Linked DNA regions of Bombyx mori. The protein of the gene in region 2 purifies or fractionates together with the protein of the main gene of each other region. This does not show direct contact. Links are inferred from orthologs where the notes say so. Each region holds a gene or a part of one and is shown on either strand. Other genes may lie near its edges.

Region 1 (3,660 bases), on a different chromosome or scaffold from region 2:
CACCAGTGGATCACAATAGGTCCTACCACCAGTGGTGTTAAGTGGTTACTGGCGCCCATAGACATCCGCAACATAAATGCGCCACCCACCTTAAGATATAAGTTCTAAGATCTCAAGTATAGTTACAACGGCTGCCCCATCCTTCAAACTGAAACGCATTACTGCTTCACGGCAGAAATAGGCAAGGCGGTGGTATCCACCCGCGCGGACTTCAAGAGGTTCTACTATCACTTATGTAACTAACAATACATTCAGATCAATAATCTATACTAATATATAATAGTGGTTTTTATGGATGTTCCGCTATAACTACTGAACCATGCATCCGATTGACGTATCCATGTAGAAAATACATGTACTTAATGGATAGGCTAATATTTATATGAGTGTTGGACTCCCTAATAATAATGACAATAAATAATAATGTTAATTTTAACTGCTCAGCGAAGCGGGCGAGTACGGCTAGTATATTATATATTTCGTACTGAATGTATCAATTGATTTTAATTTATTAATCAGAAAACAAGCATCCTGCACTCTCGCTGGCCGGTCGCAGGCGACGTCGACGAGGTGGCGGTGAAGGCCAGCAACTACCTGATGGACGCCGCGCACTCGTTCCGTGTCTACTTGAAGAATCACTGTGCACTCAAGAAACCGAAGAAAGGCGAAACGCCTAAACCAGAGAAGAAGCCCAACAAGGCGGTCATTTGGGTCGCTAAGGAGTTCCCGAAGTGGCAACGCATTATTTTGACGACGCTCAAAGAACTTAACGGGGTGTGTACAGTCGCTTGATATATTCCATTTTACAGCTGATCAACGTAGCTAGCTGCTTCGCTAAAGAAGCGCTGGAAGCGGTAACTCGTTATATATCCGAGAGCACCATTTCGCAGGGAGAATCGACACAACAGGACAAGTGCGTTGTGTCGCCAGCGAGCTGGGGTCTGGAGCGGGCCGGGGCTCCTTGTAGACCGTCGAGAATAGGACGCGTCAATGATTTCTATAATAACAACCGAGATGCGAGGAGTGTCCTCGGTGTTGAAAGGTAGCCTTAGTGAGCCTCGAAACACACTGCGTCGCTATCTTGGTTCGAGCTCTGATAGTATGAGAGAGAGAGAGACTATGATATAGTCTAAAATAGTCCGACGTTCGGTGACTAAGGCTTTACGGGTATAATAGTCTTTTAATCATACACCGCAGACATCTCGAATTGTATGTAATTTTTTTTCATATATCGCGTCGGGCTCACAAGCCACCTGGTGCTAAATGGTTACCCCATCCACCTTGAGATATGAGTTCTAAGGTTGCAGTATAGTTACAACGACTGCCCCACCCTTCAAACCGAATTACTATATTGCAAGGCATATACACGTATCATATCACAAGAGGTCCTACCACCGGTAATTACACGAATTATATTTTTTTTATAATTTGCGTAATATACGATCATTGTTTCCAGCCGGACGGTCTCCCGGACAACAAGACGATCTCGAGCCGGCTGTCGCAGCTGGACGAGCTGCGGAAGTACTCTAAGCGCGTGATGCCGTTCGTGCAGGCGACGCGCGAGTGCGTGCGGCGCGACGGCGGCGCGGCGCTGGCGCTGGCGCTGCCCTTCGCCGAGGCCGCCGTGCTGCGGGACAACGCCGCCTACCTGCGAGCCACGCTCGATGTGAGCACCCCTCTACTCTACTCCAACTCTTTACTGTCTTCTTCTATATCAGCAGTCGGGGAACCGGGGTAAATTATCCCACATGGGGTAAAATGAAATTTTGGGGGGTAAAAATGAAACTTTTGTGAGTAAAAAGTATATATTGAAGTGAAACTTCGAATCGTTAAATTTTTTGTTATTGTTTTCTTTTCAAAATATCATGGGGCCTATAATATGAGAGATGCTAAAAAGAAGCGATTTCGTTTTTTTTTGTTCTTCGCCATGGGGGAATATCAACTTACACAAAAATATTTTGGGGTAACAATTAAAAAAGTTCCCCGACCGCTGTACTATATCGTTCCCTCACTACTGAGGATCGCGACCACATGCGACGTACTTCCAGTGTGCTCGATCATGGGTGGCATGGACTGCACAGTACAGACTACCACCAAGTGCTTCTCTTGCTAGATCTTCTGGTGTTCTGCCCACGACACGCTCGCCCTCTATACGACCCGCAATTATGAGCTTCTCAAATACAAAATACAATATTTTTGAAAACTTATAAATAAACTTATATAAATTGCAAGTGTAACTCAACAATTGAGTTATCTACCAGCTAACCGTTCTTAAAGAGGGAGAACTTTACATAAGTAGGTAGAAGAGTACAATCTAATCAATTTACCAATATTCTAATCTATCTAAATCTAATAATAATAATTTACTAATAACTCTACTCTTTTTTTTATTGCTTAAATGGGTGGAGTAGCTCACAGCCCACCCAGTGTTAAGTGGTTACTGGAGCCTATAGACGTATATAACGTAAATGCGCCACCCACCTTGAGATATCAGTTCTAAGGTCTCAGTATAGTTATAACGGTTGCCCCGCCTTTCAAACCGAAGCGCGTTATGTTCAATTATCATTATTATGTACCAGTTGGACGCGATAGAGGTGAAGTACACGGACAGCGCCGACGCGCCGGAGCGGAGCCGCGAGGAGTGCGCCCCCGGACAGCCGCACATCACGTTCAGCGCCGAGCCCGCCCTCCCGCTCGTCCTGCTCAACCCCACGCCGCTCAACGGACTCTTCACCCTCAGCGTCGACGTGGCTGACGGAGACACCGTCGACAAACTCAAGGCGAAACTTGCCAAGGACGTGAAGGCTATCAAAGGTGAGAGCGAGAACTATATGCATATATTACTTACTGGTGGTAGGACCTCTTGTGAGTCCGCGCGGGTAGGTACCACCCTGCCTATTTCAGCTGTGAAGCAGTAATGCGTTTGGTGTGAAGGGCGGGGCAGCCGTTGTAACTATACTGAGACCTTAGAACTTATATCTCAAAGTGGGTGGCGCATTTACGTTGTAGATGTCTATGGGCTCCAGTAACCACTTAACACCAGGTGGGCCGGGAGTCGTCCACCCATCTAAACGATAAAAAAATCATATCAGCATTTTTTTACGCCGCAGACGCGTACCTCAATAATCACTTATTACTGGATGGGCCGTGAAATCGATCAACAGTCAACGCAAAAAAAAGGTACAAGAAAAGTAAGTATGTAATTTGTAATCAAAACTTGTCTGTGCGATTGTTTTGTAAAAATTAGAATCTATATATTAATACGTGAACCTAAAACTTTGTTTCCCTTTTTACGAAAATTGCGCGGACGGAGGAGTATGAAATTTTCCACACTTAAAGAGAATATAGAGAAGAAGTGCACAATGCTAATATTTTTTTTAAATAATGCATAAAAGATACATTAAATCAATAAATAAAACATTACACACACTACATACCATGTATTTGACGCACACACGCATGCATACTATTTATTTCGATCGAGGTGGGTGGCGCATTTACGTTGTAGATGTCTATGGGCTCCAGTAACCACTTAACATCAGGTGGGCTGTGAGCTCGTCCATCCATCTAAGCAATATAAAAAAAATATAAAAATATTGTCAACCTTTTGTTCCTGACGTCTGTTGTCAAATTGAGAATAAATTAAAATATATTGTTTGT
Region 2 (3,760 bases):
CACCAGGAAACAAAATGTGAATGCCATCATCTAACTTTGGATGTGAGATCAATTGTGCTGTATTTTATTTAAACAGGAAAGCATGACTGATTGATCATTCCAAAAAACTAGTTCGGGCCCACTTGACAATAAGCATATAATACGCTGAGTTGCAAAACATAAATACTTCCACCCACTCGAGACAATTTTATTATCTGAGGTGTGTGTGTGATAGTACGAGACTTTACTCCGACTGTTTTGATCAAACTTAACATATATGATAGCTAGGCAGCAGAAATAGGAAGGACCATTAGTTGGTGCTAATTCATTTAATTATATTATGAATAATAATTCTGTTAGCAAATAATATACCGGGAAAATAGTGTAAACTCACCGTTATCAAGGCATCCGAAATAGCATTTCATTTTCGATCTTCGAGGCATGCTGATTTTTAATAATAAACTTTCTGTAAGAAACGAAAATAGTTACACAGGCTTACGAAACGCTAACGAAGAAAAAAGTATTGGAACCAAGTTATGTCTAAAGAGAATTCAAAACAGAGTTTCTCAATGTCTAATCGTCTAATATTCTCATAAAGCTAAAAGATGCTCTAAATTAATACTACAACGTAATATAACTCACACCAAGACCAAAAAAAACGATTTAAAAAATTAAATCGTTACGACATTTTGAAAACTTTTTTTTTATTTTTGAGATTGTTTTACGGCCCTGGAATTTTGAAAACTTCAAAGCAGTGTTTCCACTTACGTTTTTTTTAACACATTTTACCCTAGTTTCTTTTGAATTTATCCCTAAAATTTCCTAGACAACTTTCATAAATCCTTTATATAGAAAGCATAAATAAAATACAGAAAATAAACCACAGCATATTATTTAATGTAGGTATATATAATATAAACGCCCCCAGAAGATCATAGATCTATAGGATTAGAATTTTCAAGGAAGTCGACGCATTGCTTTTATATTCTTTTGCTGCACGCAACCTAACACTGTTCGGTTCTAAAATTGAGCAATTGTTTGCTGGCAAAGTTGGGAACTTTCTATGAAGCAAGCCGTTCAGGGTTTCATTAGAAAGCCTGTTTCTTTTGTCAATTTTTACATTTGAGAACACTGAATAATCTTTCCACCTCAATCTTTGAAGAAGGAACTGCTAGCAAAAGTGAAATGACAATTACAAGGTTTTCGTAAATGAAATTACCATGATAATCATTCATGGTACATGAAGTACCTGTATATTACAATACAAGTAAGTTCTGGTGACATCAACGAAAATAGGTAAATAAAAGTTTGGCGGATTATACTTATTGGGATTCTGGGGAATCCCTAAGAAAAAAGCAGTGGCTTAATCTATGATTTACTTTACTAGAGGGTTACTGTTGAATCAAACCTTCTTTATAGTTTTTATACACAACTCTGTTTTATTCTTTTACTTGTCAACTCGACTTAATGTCATTCTCTCTCCATAAAGTAAAAGGTTCATTGTTTTACTTTAATTATCGTTTATTTTAAAATTCACAACAGTTACTAGTATAGGCTTTGCTTTTTACCCCGAAATATCCTAAATCCTGGTATTTTTTAAATTGTCTTTATCATCCAAAATATCAGCTATTTTTCCCTAAAAAAGGGAGAATTCCCTAAAAGTGGAAGCACTGCTTCAAAGTACGCTAACCTTTTTTATTGAGTCAGAACTCGTATCTGCCATCTAGTGAGTTTATTAGTTCATTAAGGCCAAAACGTTTCAAAAATGACCTCGCCGGTTCCTAAAGATGACGCTAGTTGAATGTTCTTTTCCTTTGTATGGGAGTTGCACCCCCCTGGTGAATAGGCTAAAATTTCACCACAATTCCAAAATTGTGAGAATGGCAAATAAAGTAGAAAGAGTGCCGGAAAGTATTAACTTTCCAGCCGAAGAGGACAAAATCTTAGAATTTTGGAAAAAAATCGATGCTTTCCAGACTTGTTTAAAACAATCCAAAAGCAGACCAAAGTAAGTCAATACTTTCATATTAGCGCATATTGAAAGAAAATGAATAGCATTCTTATTAAGATAACTGCTTTATATGCGTTATCCTAAAAGTACATTAAAATTTCAAAGTGTGTCGTGGTATTGTAAAAGTTTTATTTAACAGCTGGTTCGTAAAACTATAATAAAACGTTACTTTTTTCATAACCTTTCGTCACATTATTATTTACACACAGAAACCACAAACGGTTCAATTTGTTTTATATTTTCATAACTGAATGAAGGCCATTTAAATAATCTATTCATTTGCCTAACCTCACCTCTCCGTACGGCCTACCACCACCCTGCCTATATCTGCCGTGAAGAAGGGTGGGGCAGCCGTTGTAACTATACTTGAGACCTTAGAACTTATATCTTAAGGTGGGTGGCGCATTTACGTTGTAGATGTCTATAGGCTCCAGTAACCACTTAACACCAGGTGGGCTGTGAGCTCGTCCACCCATCTAAGCAATAAAAAAAACTAACCCGCTAAATTAATTTGCGTAATAACTGGTGGTAGGACCTTTTGTGAGTCCGCACGGGTAGGTACCACCACCCTGCCTATTTCGGCTGTGAAGCAGTAATGAATTTCGATGGAAGGGTGGGGCAGCCGTTGTAACTATACTTGAGACCTTAGAACTTACATCTCACGGTGGGGGGCGCATTTACGTTGTAGATGTCTATGGGGTCCAGTTACCACTTAACACCAGGTGAGCTGTGAGCTTGAATACTTACTAACCTAAATTTCTTTACATTTGAGGAATTTGACTTGGTTAGTGGTTAAATGACCACATTATATTACTAGCTTGGGAAGTGAACATTGTCATAAATATAGTTACTTATAGGTACTCATTTTATGATGGACCACCATTTGCAACAGGACTGCCTCATTATGGTCACATACTTGCAGGCACCATAAAGGATGTGGTCACGAGATATGCTCATCAACAGGTAAAAAAATTACTGTTTAAATTATTTATTTTTACATTAGTTTAATTTTAAAGGTATATAAACTTGTATTTAAAATCTAGCAAGTTTACATCTTTTTGAAAATTGAAATGAGAATCAACTATCTTAACTTACTTATTCCAGGGCTATCATGTAGAAAGAAGATTTGGTTGGGATTGTCATGGACTTCCTGTAGAATTTGAGATTGACAAAACTTTGGGCATTAAAGGTCCAGAAGATGTACATAAATTGGGTATTGACAAATACAATGCAGAATGCCGAAAAATTGTGATGAAGTATGCTGCTGACTGGGAGAATATTATCACTCGTATGGGTCGATGGATTGGTAAATAATACTTAGATTTCTTTGTGAATTATAAATTTATTATATGGTTTAATCACAATATCATTTTGCAGACTTTAAAAATGATTATAAAACTTTATACCCATGGTTTATGGAATCCATTTGGTGGGTTTTCAAGGAACTGTACAACAAAGGCTTGGTGTATCAAGGAGTGAAGGTGATGCCTTATTCTACGGCATGTTCAACTCCATTATCTAACTTTGAATCTGGACAGAACTATAAAGAAGTTGTAGATCCAGCTGTTGTTGTTTCTTTTCCTACTGATAAAGGATATTCCTTACTTGCTTGGACTACCACACCTTGGACATTGCCTAGTAATTTAGCTCTTTGTGTAAATCCCAAATTGATATATATCAAGATTCAAGAAAATAAAACTGGTACATGTTATGTCATTCAAGAGTCTAGGTTTCCTGTTATCTTCAAAAACACTACAGACTTCATGATTC

What was found.
Region 1: the proteins of isoleucine--tRNA ligase, cytoplasmic (region 2) and leucine--tRNA ligase, cytoplasmic purify together in Homo sapiens (affinity purification with mass spectrometry; 7 studies listed by BioGRID and IntAct, counting the BioPlex papers as one, with this or other methods). This does not show direct contact. The link is inferred for Bombyx mori from reciprocal best matches to the Homo sapiens genes IARS1 and LARS1.

The regions. Positions count from the first base shown.
Region 1 is NC_085119.1:13,741,180-13,744,839, forward strand, and holds part of leucine--tRNA ligase, cytoplasmic, read left to right. Parts: intron 1-519; coding exon 520-774; intron 775-1,456; coding exon 1,457-1,666; intron 1,667-2,579; coding exon 2,580-2,814; intron 2,815-3,660. UniProt on the Homo sapiens protein: Aminoacyl-tRNA synthetase that catalyzes the specific attachment of leucine to its cognate tRNA (tRNA(Leu)).
Region 2 is NC_085127.1:9,600,026-9,603,785, forward strand, and holds the start of isoleucine--tRNA ligase, cytoplasmic, read left to right. Parts: upstream 1-1,487; 5' UTR 1,488-1,766; coding exon 1,767-1,987; intron 1,988-2,847; coding exon 2,848-2,953; intron 2,954-3,094; coding exon 3,095-3,296; intron 3,297-3,367; coding exon 3,368-3,760. UniProt on the Homo sapiens protein: Catalyzes the specific attachment of an amino acid to its cognate tRNA in a 2 step reaction: the amino acid (AA) is first activated by ATP to form AA-AMP and then transferred to the acceptor end of the tRNA.